2 linked regions of the Notamacropus eugenii genome follow. The protein of the gene in region 1 interacts with the protein of each later gene in a pairwise test. Links are inferred from orthologs where the notes say so. Each region holds a gene or a part of one and is shown in the gene's direction. Other genes may lie near its edges. The genes, in order: CREB3L1 and FXYD domain-containing ion transport regulator 3-like.

Region 1 (8,509 bases):
ATGTCTAGATGAGAAAACAGTGGATAGAACAGTGGGTTTGGAGTCAGCAAGTTCAAATCTAAACTTAGATACTTACTAGTTGTGTGACCTTGGGCAAGTCAACCTCTGTTTGCCTCAGTTCATCATCTGTAAAATGAGCTGGAGAAGCCACTTCAATATCTTTGTCAAGAAAACCCCAAATGGGGTCACAAACAGTTAGACACGAATTGAAATGACAGAACAACAACAACAGAAACTGTGTCTACTGGCTGACAGATAGTGGTCAACACAGCAGGGGAGCTTATGAGCTGTTCTCATATTAGGAGTATAAACCTTCAGGGTTACCCCTAGAACCTAGTCGTAAGAGGTACCTTCTGGGAATCCAACCCTTGAATGAGTGTACAAGATAGAGGTACAGCCCAGAAGGGTATTACATATATATGTATTGGAGACAAACAGGTCACCCCTGATGTCTGCTGGACCATGGATCACTTCTGGTGGGTCACACAGCCTCTGGTTTTACTTTTATTATCAACCTATCTACATGCATGTGTGTATGTATATACACACATATATATATACATACATATAAACACATACACATATACATATGTGTATACATCAATATGTCATCAACTCTTTTTAAAAAATTATTGTGGCATAATCCCACTTCAAAAACTTCCACTATCATTTCCTGTGGTACTTAATGCCTCAAACACTAAAAGGTTAAATGACTTGCCCAGGGTTACATAGCCAGTGTGTGTCAGAGAGGTAGATCCTGAGCCTAGCTCTCCAGCTCCAAGGCCATCCCTGTATCCACCATATCCTGTCTCTTCTTATGTATTTTCTCACTTATGTAAATGTTGCTCCTACCCCCTTGTAAAATGGTAACTTCTTGAGGGGAGGCACTGTTTTGACACTTGGTCTTTGTAGCATCAGCACCGAGCCGGGGCCCACGACATAGGAGCCTCCTAGACTGGATGCAGTTGGATCCCAGTCCCTCCACTTGACATCCTTTCTCTTCTTTCTGCTTCTCACTCTTCCTTCCCTTCCCTCCTCCTGGGAGCTCCCCTCTCACAGACTTCACAGAGATACAGAGACCAGAGTGTCTCCACAGGATTAATTTAGATGGTTTCCTACAGTGTTCACCTGGGTACAAATCAAGAAAGAGAGGAAATTCTAATCCTATTTCTCTGAAACTCTGTAATCTTCCCCAATCACTTAAATGGTGCCTGTGTGTCTAATTACAGGGCAGGCTAGGAGGAATGTGGCCCACTTTCCAGTTACCCCTAGGCAGAAGAGTTCTTTTGGCCCATCCTGTGGACCCCAGTCCCTGCCCAGGACACCTGCTGAAGCAATTCAGGAAGTTCAGACTTTGGGGGGAGAGTGGTCCCCTAAATCAAGCCCATCACCTCAAAAGGAGTTGTTCTACTTGGCCAACTGGAATGAATTTGGGGAGAATGAGTACCAGCTGTGTTTCTCTGCTGCTCAAAGGAGCATCTGACCGACTTAACACATCTAGAAATTCACTTCTTGATTTCTGTGTCTGCACAAACAGGGTCCCATGACATGGCACTCTGCTTTACTCCCACCACTGGGCAGATGACTCCCAAACCTACATCTCCAATTCTGCTCCTGCTTCCAAGCACCACACCCACATAACCCACAACTGGACAATTCTATCTAAACATTATCCCAATAATAAAGAGATGGCCTCTTAGGCCCCTTAGAATGGTTCTAATAATAAACATTGACTCAGGATCTGAGTTCAAATCCTGTTTTGGTAAGACGTTTACCACCTGAGTGGATTTAGAGAAGTCAGTTAAGTTACCTAGGCCTCAGTTTCTTATCTGTGAAAAATGTATATCCCCATTCAGCTCTAGGCCCATGATACTCTGATCTCCTGATAGGGTTCAGAACTGACCTGCCTCACCTTCCATTTTCATCCTTTCTATCCATGGCAATCCTGCCTTCCATGTTCCAGAATTTTGGGTTATCTTCAGCTTTTCTCTCTCCCTTACCTCATTCAAGTTGTCATCAGTCTCTACTGATTTCAGTTCTGGAAAAGCTCTGTCCTCCATCCCTTTTCCCTTCTCCTGGGGCCACCACCTGGCCAATGAGGCCTGTTAGACTCCTCACGGGTCTTCTCTGAATTCTCTCCCCTGCCATCAATCCTTTACTCCACTAATAGACTCACTCTCTTATGAGCTGAACTGGTCATGTCACTGCTCTGTTCACAAATTTTCAACAACACCCCATTGCCCACCAGGCTAAGTTTCGACTTCTTTGTTTAGCATTCGAGATCCTCCAAAATCCTTGGTCACCTAACTTCCCGACCATCTTTATAACTCTGTATGACTCTGTACTCCAGCCTACCTGGATGTACACTGCCCCTTAATATGCTCTGGATTTATCTTTGCTTCCCCTTTACCTAGAACACCCTTCCTCTCACCCTCAAAAGAGGCATTAAATATTTGCTGAACGAATGAATGAGTGAATGATTGAATAAATGAGAGTGAATGACACATAAGCAGACCAAAGACTTTGGTAGAACAGCAGGCATCTCCAAAACCTGGCCTGGCTCCCACTCCCAGCCCTTCTCTGGATCTCATGCTTTACCAAAGAAGTGTGACAGGAGCCGACATTCACACATTTAGTGATACACAGATTCCTGAAAGACTTGAGTTCCTGTGCTCATTAAAAGTCACAGGCAAAGAGGACAGAACTTAATCCTGTTAATGACTTCTGAGCAGAAACTGTGTGCCCTGCACTCTTCGAGGGCCCTCCTTCCAGACAACACCCCATTTGCTCAGGGGCCCAGTGGATTGTTTATCAATCCTTTCCAGGAGATTGAGCTGTTCCTGGGAGCTGGTGGCTTTGATGATGGATCGTGGGGAGTGTGTGTATGAAGTGCCAGGGGGTTGGAGGGCACAGGAGAACCAATCAGTTCTTCCATTATCTGGCATTGTTCTCTTTCTTCCTGTTGGTTCAGAACCAGGAGGTGAGTGTGTGGTTGGGGGAGGGGAGTTGTCAGCTGACTGCAGAGAGACTTCTCCAGGTGGGTTTGCTGTTTCATGAACTAGTGTTCCCCATCTAGTTAAGGGAACTGGATAAACACAGGGAAAGGAGGTGAAATTCTGAAAGCTGAGGCAGAAATTCCAAGAAAGAATTCCCCTGTCCTTTGGTCCGTCAATCAACAGGCATTTATTCCAAGCCTTCTGTGTCTCCGGAACTGTGTTAAACAATTCTTGTCATTTCGGAGCCTCAGTACCCTCATCTGTAAAATAGACTAGGTGATCTTCAAAGTCACTTCCAGGACTTTCTGCGAGGTGCTTTAGTCAGTAAAGACAGGCCCTCCATTCAGGTTACAGAGATTTTTTTTCACACATGATTATCATTTGAAATTCAAGATAATTCCTGTGAAACAGTCTCTGCAGATGTTAGCTGCGCTTTACCGGTCACTAAGAAGTGTCTGGAGTGAGATATGAACCCACGTCTTCCCGATTCTAAGTCCAGCACTCTCCCCATTCACTAGGAAGCTGCTGAGAAAAGGAACTTCTGAGAGATTAGCTGATTTGCCTAAGGCCACAGACTTGGGACGTCCAAAGAGAACCCTGGTCTTCCAAAACCAGCGATAAATCCGTGCTACCTCTCATAAAGTCAAGGACTTAAAACTAAAAACGATAAGGTATTTGGAGTCAAGGAATTCCACGTCACAGATCATTCAACAACCAGAACATAATCGATTTCTCCCCCGCCTGGCAGAGAACCTTGAACACAATAGGCATTCAGTAAATGCTGAGTCAGATTGAATTCAATCTCTTTTCGGGGATCGTGAACCCGCTTCTTGTTTAGTCTCTCTCCATGACTCTATGGACCATACTGTCCATGGGGTTTTCTTGGCAACGATAGTGGAGTGGTTTACCATTTCCTTCTCCGGTGGATTAAGGGAAATAGAGGTTAAGTGACTTACTCAGGGTCACAGAACTGGATGTCTGAGGTACGATTTGAACTCAGATGTTCCTGATTCCAGAACCTATCCACTGAGCCACCTACCCTACCCCTTCCCCTCGCCCCCAGGACCTAGGCTCTTGGGCAAATCTTTCCCCTTCCCTGTGCCTCAGTTTCCTTATTGTAAAATAACAGACTGATCTGAAAAACCTCTGAGGTTTTTTTTTTCCATGACTAAACCTATGATCCCATCAACTACATCTAGGACCAGCTAAAGTAGTGCTCATGAAAAGGTTTTGTTCAGTTGAACAGAATTGAAGGCCTACTATGCGCAAGGCATTTTGCTAGGCGCTGCCAGTGTTTCTATCCCGTGTGGTGAAGGAACAATGACCTGGAATTTTCTAACTCTCGGTTCCTTTCTGCTGTTATTTCCATAAAACGACTGGAACAGAAATGCCTGGCACTTGCCAATTATTGCCGGGGGAGGGAGGCTGACACAGCGACTAAAAGCCGGGGGGTCTGTGGCCACCTGCTGAAGATTCCTTAGCTGAAGGCTTACTCTCTGCCCAGGGCCTGGGACTGGTTTCCCTTGTAGTCCCACGGCGCCCGCAGTCATTAATCATTGCCCTGGTTCGGGGGCAAACATTCTGCACGCAGAGAAAAGGAACGGCAGGGTTGGTCCTCTAAGAGGCTGCCTCTTTAAAGGGACGGGTCTGGAAGAGAAGGCACGCCCCCAATCTCATTACTACTAAGGAGGCCCCTGAATATTGAGGAGGTGGGGGTGTGGCAACCAAGCCTAGCTGGCGGAGCTTGGGTTTCCCGGCTTTGGAGACAGGGAAAGTGACAGTAGAGTGCGGAGGGGAGAAACGCACCGAGGGAGCGGGAGAGGAGAAAGCTCGCTCGGCTCCCACCCAGTCCCGGGGGAGTCCGCAGCTCCCCCGTTCCCGGCTCCCGCCCAGCCCCTGGGAGGGGCGGGAGCCCCCACTTCTCTGGCCCCAGCCTCTCCTTATGGAATCTCGCTTTGCCCGGGGTGGAGGAGAGATGCCCACCGTGCGCCGGGAGCCCCGCTGCCCTGCCGGAGGCTCACGGATGCCCTGAGCCCACACTCCGGCTGCACCGCTGTCGCCGTCGCCCCCGGCCAGACGAGGCTCCAAGATCGCCGGGGGCTTGCCGGAGAGCTGCCAGCCCGAAGGCGAGCTTGGTGGCCTGGACGCCCCCAGCGCTGGACTGACTGAGCCGGGCAGCAAAGGGGGTGTTCTGCCCGCGCCACCTCCTGGGAGCCCCCGAGCCAGACACCATGGACGCCGTGTTAGAGCCCTTCCCAGCAGACAGGCTCTTCCCCGGCTCCAGTTTTCTGGACCTGGGCGATCTCAATGAGGCGGATTTCCTGAGCAATGCGGTAAGAAAGGCCAGGGGTCCGCGCCCAGCGGTCACTCGTGTCCCCAGCTGCTGAGCGCGCGCGCACAAGCACACACACACATACATACACACACACACTCACGCACACACACAAGCACACACACACGCATGCATACACACGCACACACACACATACATACACACACACACTCACGCACACACACAAGCACACACACGCGCACACACACACACACATACATACACACACGCACACACACATACACACACGCGCAGACACACACGCACACACACGCACACACCACGGAGGCAGGCAAAGGACCCAACTCTAACCCCCTGGCACGGTCTGGCGTCCCCCGGGATACAGCAGCTGCGACCCTGTGCGGGGGTCAGCCCCAGCGAGGGAGGGGCGGGAGGAGTGGGTGTAGTATTTAGATCCCGAGTGGAAGAATGAGGTGACCCAAGGAAGAGGGCTGGGGTAGGAGCGAAGCAGAACCAGAGCCCAGAGTCGCCCTCGGGGTCAGCTCGTTGGCGCTTAGCCTCCTTCCGTGACATGTCACCCACTCCAGCCCTTTGGCCGGTCATGAAGGCACGATGCTGGCAGTGGAAACAATGGCAGCCCTGGGAGGGGGCAGTTGTGCCCCTCTCCCTCACTCCCCGCCCCCCCCCTTGGAACCTGGTTTCCTTTCAAGGCCAGCTGGCCTAGAACCCGGACTCCGAGAGACTGAGATCTAACCGCTGCCCCAGCTCCAGCTCTAGCCCCCGGGTGTCTTCTGAGCTTGCATTTCTACCTAGCTCCGGGGAGTCTTCTGTAGCTTCTGAGGGAGGAGAGGGTAGAAAGTCTCTCTTGGCAATAGGGTCATTCTGACTCGAGGAAAGAAACTCGGATGATTCCCCTTTCCTCCCCCCTGTCCCTGTCCCCCCACTCCCCCTTTTTGTTCCCGAGAGCAAAGGGTGCAGTCTGATCTTGGGGGAAGATGGGAGGGGGTAGTCTGCCGAAAGCCAGAGAAAGCCTGAGCCTGGCGCCCCTTCGGGGACACAACCTGGATCGACGCCAGACCAGGCGTTCAGGAGATGTTGCCGACTCCCCACCAACCTAAGGCAAAATATCAAGAGAGACCCTCAGCAGAGAGCTCAGGGACCAGCCCTGCACTCCCCACCTTTGTAAGAATAGGTTAGCAATGGGCAGAGAAAGCTGGCATTCTCTCTTCTCTCCCCACCCCACCCCCCCAAGGAAATGTGTCCTCCCTCCAGCAGGCTCAGCCCCAAGGCCCTGATGGTGAATGGAGGGGGATGGGGGCAGGGAGTGCACTCAGTCACGGGAGAAAATATTTGGCTTTGGAGGGATCTGCCCAGTTGAAATTTCAGGACCCTGTGTGGCTTGGAGGTATGCCTGTGGTTTGGAAGTAAGTCCAGACAGGCTCCCAGCAGGTTAATTCATCCAAGGGCCAAGTTCCCCTGGGTCCTTCAGGCCACCCAGGCCTTTCTCAGGACCCAACCATCCTAGGTGCAAAGTCAGCAGTTAGACTCTGAGAACTTTGCCAGAAAAAAGCGGAGAGCTCAGTACCCCGATATGTTAGGGGTAATCTCATCCTGCACCCTCTACCACCAGGGATTGTCTCGTTACAGAAGAGAAAAGTGAGGCTGCTAATAGGGTATTGACCAGATTGTAAATGGCCTCATTAAACAGTAAGCCCTTTGAGGGTGGGGATCATGCCTTATGTATCTTTGTTAGCCTACAAAGCACCAGCATAGGTCCTCAATCAATGTTAGTGGAATGCGTGAATGCATGAATGAGTGAATGAATGAATGAATCTGCAGAGGTATGAGTGGCAGAGGACCAGCTTTTAAATCAGGGGAACTGAGTTTTAGTCTTAATTCTGTTACCATCTGTACGACCTCACTTTAAAGTCACTTTAATCTCCCTATACCTCAGTTTCTCCATCTGCAAAATGAAAGTGGAGAAGTCAAATCAGATTATTTCTAAGGCGCCTTCCATTTTCAAGTTTATGAGAGGGTCTTCTGCTCATGAGAAAAAGAGGCAAGGCAGCCTAGTCCCATACTGTAAATCAATTGACGTCTAACACAAGTCTGAGAAACACAAAGGGGATGTGTGGCCTCTCTGCTTGTGATTTATCCAAAATAATAAATCCTGGCATTTATATAGCCCTTTGAGATTTGCAAAATGCTTTTCTTATGTTATCTCGTTAAATCCTGACAATTCCCCCAAGACAGGTTCTGTTATTTCCCCCACTTTATAGATGGGAAAACTGAGGCTCAGGGAGATGAAGTGACTTGGTGGTCTAAGTTGTTAAAGTAGTAAGTAGCAGTCACCCGCATGGGACCAGATAGCTAGTAAATGTCTAAGTTGGAATTAGAATCCAGAGCTGGCTGATTTCTAGTTCACTGCACTGGCCACTCTACGTCTGGGGAGAAGCCAAGTGCCCAGGTGCCCAGTCAGTCACTTGTAGTGTTTCTTCATGTTGTCATCTCAATGGGAAGGTCTCTCCTCCCGGTAAGGGTGGGGCGGTCTCTGGGGATGAGCTCTGTGTTAGACAAGGGGTTTCCAGGGGCTCTGGCCACTGCTGCTCCTTGGACAACCTGGAAAAAAAAATATTCTCGCCACTTTCCCTCTGAATTCTTGGGGCCATGCCTGGATTAGCTGAATTCCTACATCCTTTGCAGTTCTAATTCTCTCTCAGTCTACTCGCCTTGAGGTAACCAGTTTTGATCCTAGCTTCCCAGCACAACCCTGAGATGAATGGAGAGGTTGAGGGAGTGGGGATTCACCTTGCTGCAGCCAGGCACTGACAACCTTCTCAACGCGAATAGGAAGGTGGGGAGGCTCCCGGCTCTGCCCCTGAATTGTAACTTTTTTCTGAATAAACTCAGCAGACTCATCCAGCTCCCCATTCAGACCTTCACCCCCAGCTACTCAGCTGGGTCACAGCCCAGCCACAGTGGATAGGTTCACGGGGTCAGATAGTGGTGTCCGGGGGCAGTGACTCCATCAAGGGAGAAGTTCAGGCTGGTAAGGAGCCTTTGTTCTGGGGTAGCCCAGAGTCACACCTGGGCATGGTCCAACAGGCTTGCTGGGAGAAGATTCAGAAGGTTCAGAGATGAAGTGTAGCAGGGGATGACATCTGAGGGAAGGAAGAGAAACCTTGGCATAGTGAACACAGTATCAGACTGACAGTAAGGA
Region 2 (9,089 bases), on another chromosome or scaffold:
CAGTCATGTTGGTGGGGCTTGGGAAACACAGAGGTATGCTTGCTTCTTGTAACAGTTATATACATGTATATGTGAATATATATATATGTGTATATATATATATGTGTGTGTGTGTGTGTATGTGTGTAGTATGTATTTAATATCGATGTGAACTCTCTCTCTGCCCATTTCATTACTCCCGTTCCAGTTCCCCCTGACCATCAGCAGACCTTCTCTTGGATGATCAGTGGGTAGTTGGAACCCTGTTCCCTGTGATTTTTTACCCCTTGCCCCAAAATTCCCCAATCCTCCCTTCCTACCTAAGAGGGTGCAGGGCAAGTGGGGAAGGAGAATGCGGTCATTAAGTTATCCACTTTCCATCTTGTCAGGTTAATGAGGCTACATTCACCCTTCTGCTGAACCTCAGCATGGGAGATATCCTCCTGTACCAGGATGGATTCCACCTAACATTGCAGACACACTTTGGACTAGTGTTCACCTCTGACTTGGTCCACAGCCTCTTCCTTACCCTGCCCCCAAATTACATGGACCACACTTGTGGGCTATATGGGAACTTCAGTGGGGATGACTTCCAGCTACCGAGAGGTTCCCCAGTGGGGGACCCAGTGACTTACTCTGCCTCTGAATGGAAGCCGGATGATGGCTGTAAAGACAGTTGTGCCAAGGGATGTCCAGCATGCATGGCCCAGGAACAGCTTGTACCCGCCAAGGTCCAGTGTTGGATCCTCCAAGACCCCTGGGGGCCCTTTTCCTCTCGCCCCATGGAAATTGATCCAGAACCCTTTGCTTCTGCCTGTGCCAATGACCTATGCCTCTCCACGGGAAACAGTTGTGTCTTATGCCTGACCAACCAGATTTACGCTGCTGCCTGTCAGCGAGCAAATGTCACCATCAGGGACTGGAGGAGCCCCTCCTTCTGTGGTGAGTGGGCAGGTCCCCGTACTCCCATATTATGCCTTTGGGGCTTCAGGTCTGTAGGCCCAATACCAGGCCCAAGCCAAAGCACAGAGATGATGGCCAACTGTCAGACTCCAGCCCTCCTTCTCTATCAAAATGATACCCAGGGCTGGAACTGACATGCTACAAAATACTATCATACACCTCAGTTAGTCCTCCTTTAAGGAAGGGATTATTCCCCTCTTTACCAATGAGTTGAGAGTTGAGAGCTAAAGTGATCTGCCCATAGTCACATAGCTGGGAAGGGTCTCTTCTGACTGACTCTGAGGCTATCTATTAATGGAGCAACCTCTGTGTACAGATGCATGGGTTTGGATGAAGCAAAGACCCAAAGAATCCATAGCTCACTTTCCCTGGGAAATGCCCTTAGCACTTAGAAAGCAGCAAATCAGTCCAAAGCCCAATATTCTGAAGGGACAGAGAGTAGAGAAGTTTCTCCAAGTCTGTGGGGCTTCATAGGAAGAGGACCTTCCAAGAAGACTTTTGGAGGGGTTTCTGTCACCACCTCATGGCAAGAGAGCCCAGGAGAAAGGGCCCTCTGTCCTGGCTTCTCTCAGACCTCAGAGGCTCCCTATGGCTATGGAGCAGCTTAGTGAGGATGCACACTCCAGGGCTCTCTTCAGCTCGTCTCCTCTCCTCTGCTGTCCTCTCTCCACAGCCCCCCACTGTGCCCAGCACAGCCACTACGAGCTCTGTGCCTGCCCTCGCTGCCATTCCTGCCCTGGCTCTGAGCTGAAGTATGGGCTCTTGTGTGTTGAGGGTGCATCTGTGATGATGGGTACCTGCCTCAGGGATCCAGCTGCCTCCCAGCCCCAGAGCATGACTGTGGCCACCAAAGTCAGCATTGCCTAGTGAGTTGCCCCCCTGTCTACCCCATATAGTCTTGGGGAAAGGGACAGCTGGTGCTCCCACACTGGGCGCCCTCATCCACAGGAACTGCTAACCACAGATCATAGCTCTAGAGCTAGAAAGGGGGTCTAGTCCCATTCCCATCTGAGAGAGAGAAAGACTAAGGCCAAGAGGTTAAGTGATTCATCCCAGATCACAGAGGGGATTAAGTAACAGAGGAGGGATGCCAGTGTGAGTTCAGTGATCTACACTCTGCCACACTGTTCTCCAGAATTTAAGCATCCAATCCCTGCTACCCTCAAAGGTCTTTATTATGCACCAAGTGCCATGCCCACCACAGAGCCTGTCTCTCTCCTTATCCCCTGATGCCAGGAAAGCTTTTCTCCTGCCTGCTCAGCCCCACCCACCAATGGGCCAGTACCTTCTTGCTTAGAGGGAACCATCAGTCAGTGGAGGAGAAGTCTCAAAGGGCTCTCACATGAATTATTTCTGACACCAACCATGCCAACCATTATAAAGGCACTTGGGGCAGGTACTGCGGTTATCCTCATCCGACAGATGAACATCCCCTAATTTGTCTGACTTGTGAGCATCAGAGAGTTAGACTTGGTACTGACTTTGAACTTAATTCTTAGTTGGGGCTCCATCCCCTGTGGACTCCTACCTTCCTCTCCTCCTACAGGAACTGAGCCCTAAGGAGGCTTCTGAGCTTCTGTGGAGACCACAGAGCAGTCACAAGTGTCTACAGCGGAACCACACTGGCCAAATCTGAATCTGGTCCACCCAGAGCTCAGAACATGAAGCCAATAACATCATGCAAGCAGCAACAAATCCCCCCAGATCTCTTCTACAATTCAACCCAGTCGCAATAAAACACTAGCAGAAGTCTCTGCCTAAGCCAGAATCTGCTGCCTGGCCTCGAGACTAAGGGAGAAGACCTATGGATCAGCTAGTTCTTTTGGCTCACAAAGGCTTGGTGAGGTGGGGAATAGGAGAAGAAAAGCCACACCAGGCACTCACACACTGAGCACAGCTTTGGCTGCTGTCCTTCCTATGCTGTCCCAGAACCAAGACCAAACTGCTGAGACTCAGCATTTTTTCAAGGTGGGCTAGGTAGGAAGGAGAGACAAGAGTCCAAGAGGCCTCAGCCATCACTACGCCATCTCTTTTTGTGTTTCTCATTCCTATCCTTCCCCACAAGTTGTCAGCATCCATCCATCCATCCATCCATCCATTCATTCAATAGATGTTTTCCCCTCCCCAGTCCTGTGCCTGACTGCTGTAGGGGAGGTAATACAAGGATCTGATTTGGTCCCTGCTCAGGGGAATTGGTTGCCTATTTGGGCAAATAAAATGTATGAAATGACTACATCAGTATAGATTTCAAGGGCAATGACCATAAGAAGTATTCATTAAAGGCCTGTTTACTGAAAGATTAACATGGGTTAGTGCACAGGGACTAGGAAAAGTTAGAGCTAGATCAGGGAGAAGTGGGGCAGGTCAATATTCTGCATGTGTTATTGCCTTCCTAGTATGGGACTAGAGGAGGGGGCACATGAGTGCCAAGAGTGGGGAGCACTCTGTAGCATAACAGGGGAAGGCCATGGCCCACCTTGTATAGGGCATGGGGCAGGGAGCAAAAGGCGGGGGACAGAAGGCAGGGCACAGGCATAGGGTACATGTGGCAGGGGACAGAGGGCAGGGGACAGGGATGTAACTTCCTTGCACATGGCACTTCGAACATAGCAGATGCTAATTAAATGCATATCCATTTGAATTACCCTGACCTGGGAGGCAGGACCTACCAGGGTGTCCAGATAAGTCTAGTGGCACATTTCTGGGGCTCCCCCACCAGAGGGCAATGCTGTGCCGTGGCCAAGTCATCTTGGGGTCTCTTTGTAGCCACTGGGAAAAGAAGACTGTCAGGGGACTTTCCAGGGAGACTGGGACCTTCATATCCCAGGTAAAGAAAAGCTGCCAAGCTTAGGATCAACATCTCTGAATCTTCTGTCAAAGCATCTCCTCCAAGCAGCAGCCCCCATCTCTCTGCAGGTCAAATCTCTAACCTTCACCCTCCTCCAAGTGTTTGGGCACCTAAGACGCTTGCTCGAGCCCATTCAGACTCCAAAAGTAGGGGGCTGAATTCCCCTGCTGCAGAGGGCAAGGTGGGGCTCAAGGCCCTGGCCAGCTGGGTCTGACTCAGAGGAATTGACAAACGCCTTGGAGAAACCACATCCAGACAGCAGATGGCTCTGGGGAGTTTCCCTTTCCCTCTCTCTCTTTCTCTGCCTCTCTCCCCTCCCCTCTGCTGGGAAGTAACAGGGCCCGACTCTCCCTGAGCCATTTTTCCTGAGCATTTATTCCCCTTAACTCTACTCCAGAGCTATTTCTTCTGTCCCTCAGCTTTCTCCATCACCACCTTAACCTTCAAAGAGGTGCCAAGGCCTCCTCTCAACCCTTGCTATCCTTTTGCCTGGCTCTTCTCTGCCTGTGGTCCTCTTGGCTCCTCCCCAGGAGGCAGAGTGGGGGCACCCAAGCTCCAGATGGTGACCAGAACAGGAACAGAAGCGTCTCCTTTGCCAGCCCCTGCCCCCTCCCTATGACCCCAATCCTTTGCCAGCCTTTCAATAGCCCCTTGTTCCCAGTCCAGCCCCCAAACAAAGCTCTCTCTGTGGGGAAGGAGCAGCTTGGGGCAGTGGTTACCCCAAATGGAAAGGCCAGGGCCATCCTGGGCTCCATATGGACCCCTGTCTGGAGGAATGTTAGGAGGAGGGCGAATAAATCTTATGGGCAGGGAAAAGAAATGAGAGGGAACAGAACTTCAGTCCACAAGTGGTTGATCAGTCAGTCAGTAAGCATTAATTCCACACTATGTGCATAGTGTTGCCCTTAATCTACCCAGCCCAGGCCACTCCCAGGTCCCAGATAATCCATCATCTGCCAACCGCTCCACCTTGCGGTTCGCACCCTCCTGCCAGGGCCCAGGAAGCCTGTCTCAGCAATTCAAAATATTTATTGGGGAAAGGGGGGGAGGAGGAGAGTGCGTTGGCTTCTTTATCTCTCCTGCTCTGCTGGTGAATGGTTGGGTGGGCTTGCAGGCCCTAATCCAAAGGATCTGCTTTTATATCTTCCCCATCCCATTCCTGATGATTTTACAGATAGCTGGGTCTTTCAAAACAGCTCCAAAGGTCTTTCCTCAAGGGTGTGTTTATGAAGCCTCCTTATTGTTGGCCCATTTCAGCTGGGCTTTAGGTAGACAAAGAAGGTTAAAGGTCTCTGAAAGGATTCCCCACAACTCCAAGAAGAGGAGCCTTGGTCCTCTCCTCATGTGTATACATATGTATATAAACTAACTTTAGGCTCTGGTTCTGTCAGGGCCTAGAGGCTGAATGGGGTCAAGGTAGGCAGATTGGGCCTTCTGAGAAGAGAAGCCAGACTGCCCCTTTAAGAGCAAGTGGGGCGGGGGTGGGGAGCTCTGCTAGAGCCCCAGGGAGTCAGACCTGTTCCCTACCTGCCTGGTTTTGCCCAGGGTGTGTCTGTTCTGTATAAAGAGGCTGGGGCAGGCCTAGCTTCACTAGCAGCGGTTCCTTCTACTTCCCAGCTCTGTCCTGCAGTCCAGGTGAGCATCAAGAGCCCCCTACTCTAACTCCATTTATTAATCGTGTCCCCTCAGCCTTGGCTCTGCCTCCCCCACCTTCAACTTTCCACCCTCCTATGCCTGTTATCTTTTTGTGTGTACCTCTCCCCTGACACTTTCCTCCTCCTCTGGCTTCTTCTACCCAGGGCCTTCCCTTGTTCCTGGGCTTTGGGGAAGGGCTGTCTCTGTGTAAGTCACAGTTGGTTGAATGGAGCTGGAGAAGAGAGATTTTGCTTGGGAATCAAAGCCCTCAGAGCTTGGGGACAGGTAGCATTTTGGGATTTTAAAGTACTGGAGAAAAGTAATGAAGGAAACAGCAGGGTTCTGCCATAAAGCAGCATTGGGATACAGAAGGAATAAAGAGGAAGAGCCCAGGTGGCAGGAAAGTCAGTCTGCTGGTCCCTTTGAGTAACGCAGGGCACCCAATGCATGATGGCGATCATAATGGAGAAGGGTTGGGGGAGCCGCTACTCAGTCTGTTGGAAGAACAAAGAAGGGGTTGGGATGAACCATTTTAGAATGAAATGGTAGCAATGTGCCCACTAAATGAAGGAAACCTAGTTATAAGTATAGCTACTGAGGCAAAGAGTACTGTAGTCTGGAGAGCTTAAGTCACAGACTAGGTTTGGGCGCAGAAACCAGGATGGAATGCGGTACTATAACATAAATAGGAACAGGATAGTATATCAAAGTCACAAGGAAACCACAGTATTAACAAAAAGTAATGAAGTGTATCACAGTAACCTGAAATAATAGGAAAGGCAGAACTATGACCAAAGATACCAGAATAACGTGGACTAACAGAAAATAAAGGAAGAATTCGCTTCAGTGTTTTCTGCAGGGTAACCAAAGTGAATGCAGAATATTAACATGACCTTCTGGCAGTAGTAATGCATGTAATGGAGGATGTGGTTCACAGCCACCTGGAGGAAGAGAGGGGCTCAAGGTAAAGAGGTCCCCTGCAGTACCAGCCAGCCTCAGGCAGTGACCACAATCTAATGGCCATAACCCAGGGAGGTGGCATTAATGGGGCATGACAAATATTCCTGGGAGGCAGGGACTTTAGTAGTAACATGGAGATCCCATGAGTCAACACTAACTAGAACATTGCCTTTCAGCCCCAAAGATCAGTGAGGACATCATTATAAAAGGGGAAAGGGATTGAAGAAATACCACAAGCCCATACTAACCCCAGAAAGAGACTGTAGGGAGGTTTCCCAAAGGCAGATGGGCTTTGAGTCACTGTATAGAGTAGAAGTGGTCTGGAGCACAGAAGGTGGGGAGGAGGATCCAAGGGCACAAAATAAGAGGGGTGAAGCCAGGTTGGAGGAATTCATATAATTCTCTTGAGTTGCAACGACTTCTTCTCAGCTCTGGCAGCAGCCTCTGGCCCCCTGGGGCTTAGCTGTCCTGTCTGCTCTGTTGCCCACCCACAACCAACCACAGTCACGACCTCCTCCCTCTCCCCCAAGAACAGCCAGATATGCCAGGCCAGCCCCAGGCTCTGGACCCCAGCCCAAAGAAGGGATGGGCCATTCAGGCTCCGAGCTGTCTGTGGGAGAGATTGCCAGCAAGGAAACCTCAGCCAGTTCCAAATACAGGCATCCTGCCACCTGGGCCTGGGCTCCTCCCTTTTGCCCCTACCCCAAAACTAGCTCAGACTCCTCCATGGCCCCATTCACCACCCCTCCTGCAGACGAAGCAGAGTGCTCCTATTTCCTCCTTGGAGAAATTTAGTCAGCATCTGCCCTCCCCCAGCTCCCTTATCTGCCCCTCTCCTTCTCTGCTTCTTATCTGCTTTCTTCCTTCTTATCTCCTGCCCTGGGTTCAACAGAAAGACTTTCGTCCCTGTGTTGCTCCCATGTGTACATGTGTTTGAAGTTGCTGAGCTGGGGGTGGGGGAGGGCAGAGGGAATAGGAAGGAGAAGCATGTGTTCCATTGAGGTTTTTCCCAACAGGGTCCAACTTATTCACCTCCAAGATGCTTGGGACAACAGTGGGCATTCTACTGATGATGGCAGGTCAGTGCCAGTTTTCAGACTGAAAGACTGTTCCTTTTCCTGGACTTCTCCCTCACTTGAGCCCAAAGATACTGCCTCTGATCCTCTTACATTTCCCTTAACCCAAACTGAGCAGCATTCCAGAAACCATTGTAGATAGGGTCATTGCTTTTCTACTGTGTGTTTGTCCGTTGCCAAAGAAGACCATGCCATCAGAGATGTGATGACATGACTTGCACTTAACTTTGTTTTGAGTGAGTAAGGGCTGTGAACGTTACCAGCCTCACTTCTCCTCCAGAGCCATCTGAATCCAGTGACCAGATATTCATCAGGATGACTGGAGATGACCCAGGAGGAGGCAATTGGGTTTAATTGCCCAAGGTCACACAGCTAGTGAGTGTCAAGTGTCTGAGGTGAGATTTGAAGTCAGGTCTTCCTGATTCCTGCACTAGTGCTCTATCCACTGCACCACCTAACTGCCCCTGCTTTTCTACTAAGAGGCCAATAAAAAGTACGTTCTGAAGAGGCCAGGGCCACTAGGGGTCTGTGTTCCTAGAGGGGGCAAAAAGGCAGCTCAAACACCTGCCTTCCCCAATCAGAGGCCAGAAATAGTCAATAGTATTGAGGAAGGGCATCTAAGATGCTGGAGTCAGTAGCAGCAGCTGGAATGAGATTGGAAATCCAGAGTCCCTAAGAGAAGAGATGCTGAAGTACTGGGAGACAGTTACATGGGTGCCTTGTGAGACATGGCTAAGGAAGGCACTAAAGGGCAGGTGTAAATACCTTTAGTAGGAACCTCAAACGAGATGGGGAAGCTCATTTCCTTCTTTTTTCCTCACCACGAGGAGAATGAGGTGAATAAATGCTGTTGAACACTTGAGGGTTTGTGTGATCTCCCATTTGGAGGCATGCCTTTGCCACCCTCCACCAGCAGTCTGAGGAGTCACCCCTACTGAAGGATACAGCAGGCAGATATCTGCCTGTGCCCAGAGCCAACCACCAAAAGGCAAGGGTTAACCAGTCTTGGGTTGCCAACACTCCACTCTCCCTCTGCTTTTTCTCTTTCTCAGTTCTGCCTGCCCTGGAAGCCAATGACCCAGCTGGTGAGTTACTCCCAAGCTTCTTTTTTGGGGGAGGGAGGCAAGTGGGGTCAAGTGACTTGGCCAGAATTACATAGCTAATAAGTGTCTGAGGCTGGCTTTGAACTTAGGTCCTCCTGACTCCAGAGTCAGGGCTCTGTTTACTGTGCTACCCACCTGCCCCTAATCCCCAAGCTTCTTTGAGGTTGCAGGCACTCTCCCTTCTGATAACGTTCTCATTGTCTCTTTTTTCCTTCAGATAAAAACAGCCCTTTCTATTACGGTAAGAGCATCCTTGGTTTTGCCTTCTCAAGGTCTTGGGGTGAAGGGGATGGAAGTTGCTTGGCATAATGCAATCTAGAGGAGAGGTGAAAGAGAGAATGTAGCGGTGGGCTGGGGAAGGACAATGCCTGCCTTGAGGGAGCTTACAGTCCAGAAGAAGCGAGAAAGAATATTGATGTCATCAAATATAAAGGGATATGTCACCAGCTGAGCTGAGTAGCCCCTCCTTCTGAGCTTTTTAATCAAAGAATGTGAGCAGACCTCTGCAGAAGTGGAGGGAGGTTT

The links.
Region 2: the proteins of CREB3L1 (region 1) and FXYD domain-containing ion transport regulator 3-like interact in binary tests that used the Homo sapiens proteins (3 or more experiments, as listed by UniProt). The two-hybrid records come from large-scale screens. The link is inferred for Notamacropus eugenii from reciprocal best matches to the Homo sapiens genes CREB3L1 and FXYD3.

The regions. Positions count from the first base shown.
Region 1 is NC_092877.1:4,550,008-4,558,516, reverse strand, and holds the start of CREB3L1 (cyclic AMP-responsive element-binding protein 3-like protein 1), read left to right. Parts: upstream 1-4,737; 5' UTR 4,738-5,227; coding exon 5,228-5,329; intron 5,330-7,131; exon of another isoform or gene 7,132-8,450; intron 8,451-8,509.
Region 2 is NC_092876.1:32,518,708-32,527,796, forward strand, and holds the start of FXYD domain-containing ion transport regulator 3-like, read left to right. Parts: upstream 1-5,309; 5' UTR 5,310-5,425; intron 5,426-6,272; 5' UTR 6,273-6,349; coding exon 6,350-6,389; intron 6,390-7,401; coding exon 7,402-7,464; intron 7,465-8,513; coding exon 8,514-8,546; intron 8,547-8,781; coding exon 8,782-8,805; intron 8,806-9,089. Other genes in the region: IgGFc-binding protein-like, read left to right, coding at 369-921, 1,616-1,808, 2,489-2,489. UniProt on the Homo sapiens protein: Associates with and regulates the activity of the sodium/potassium-transporting ATPase (NKA) which transports Na(+) out of the cell and K(+) into the cell.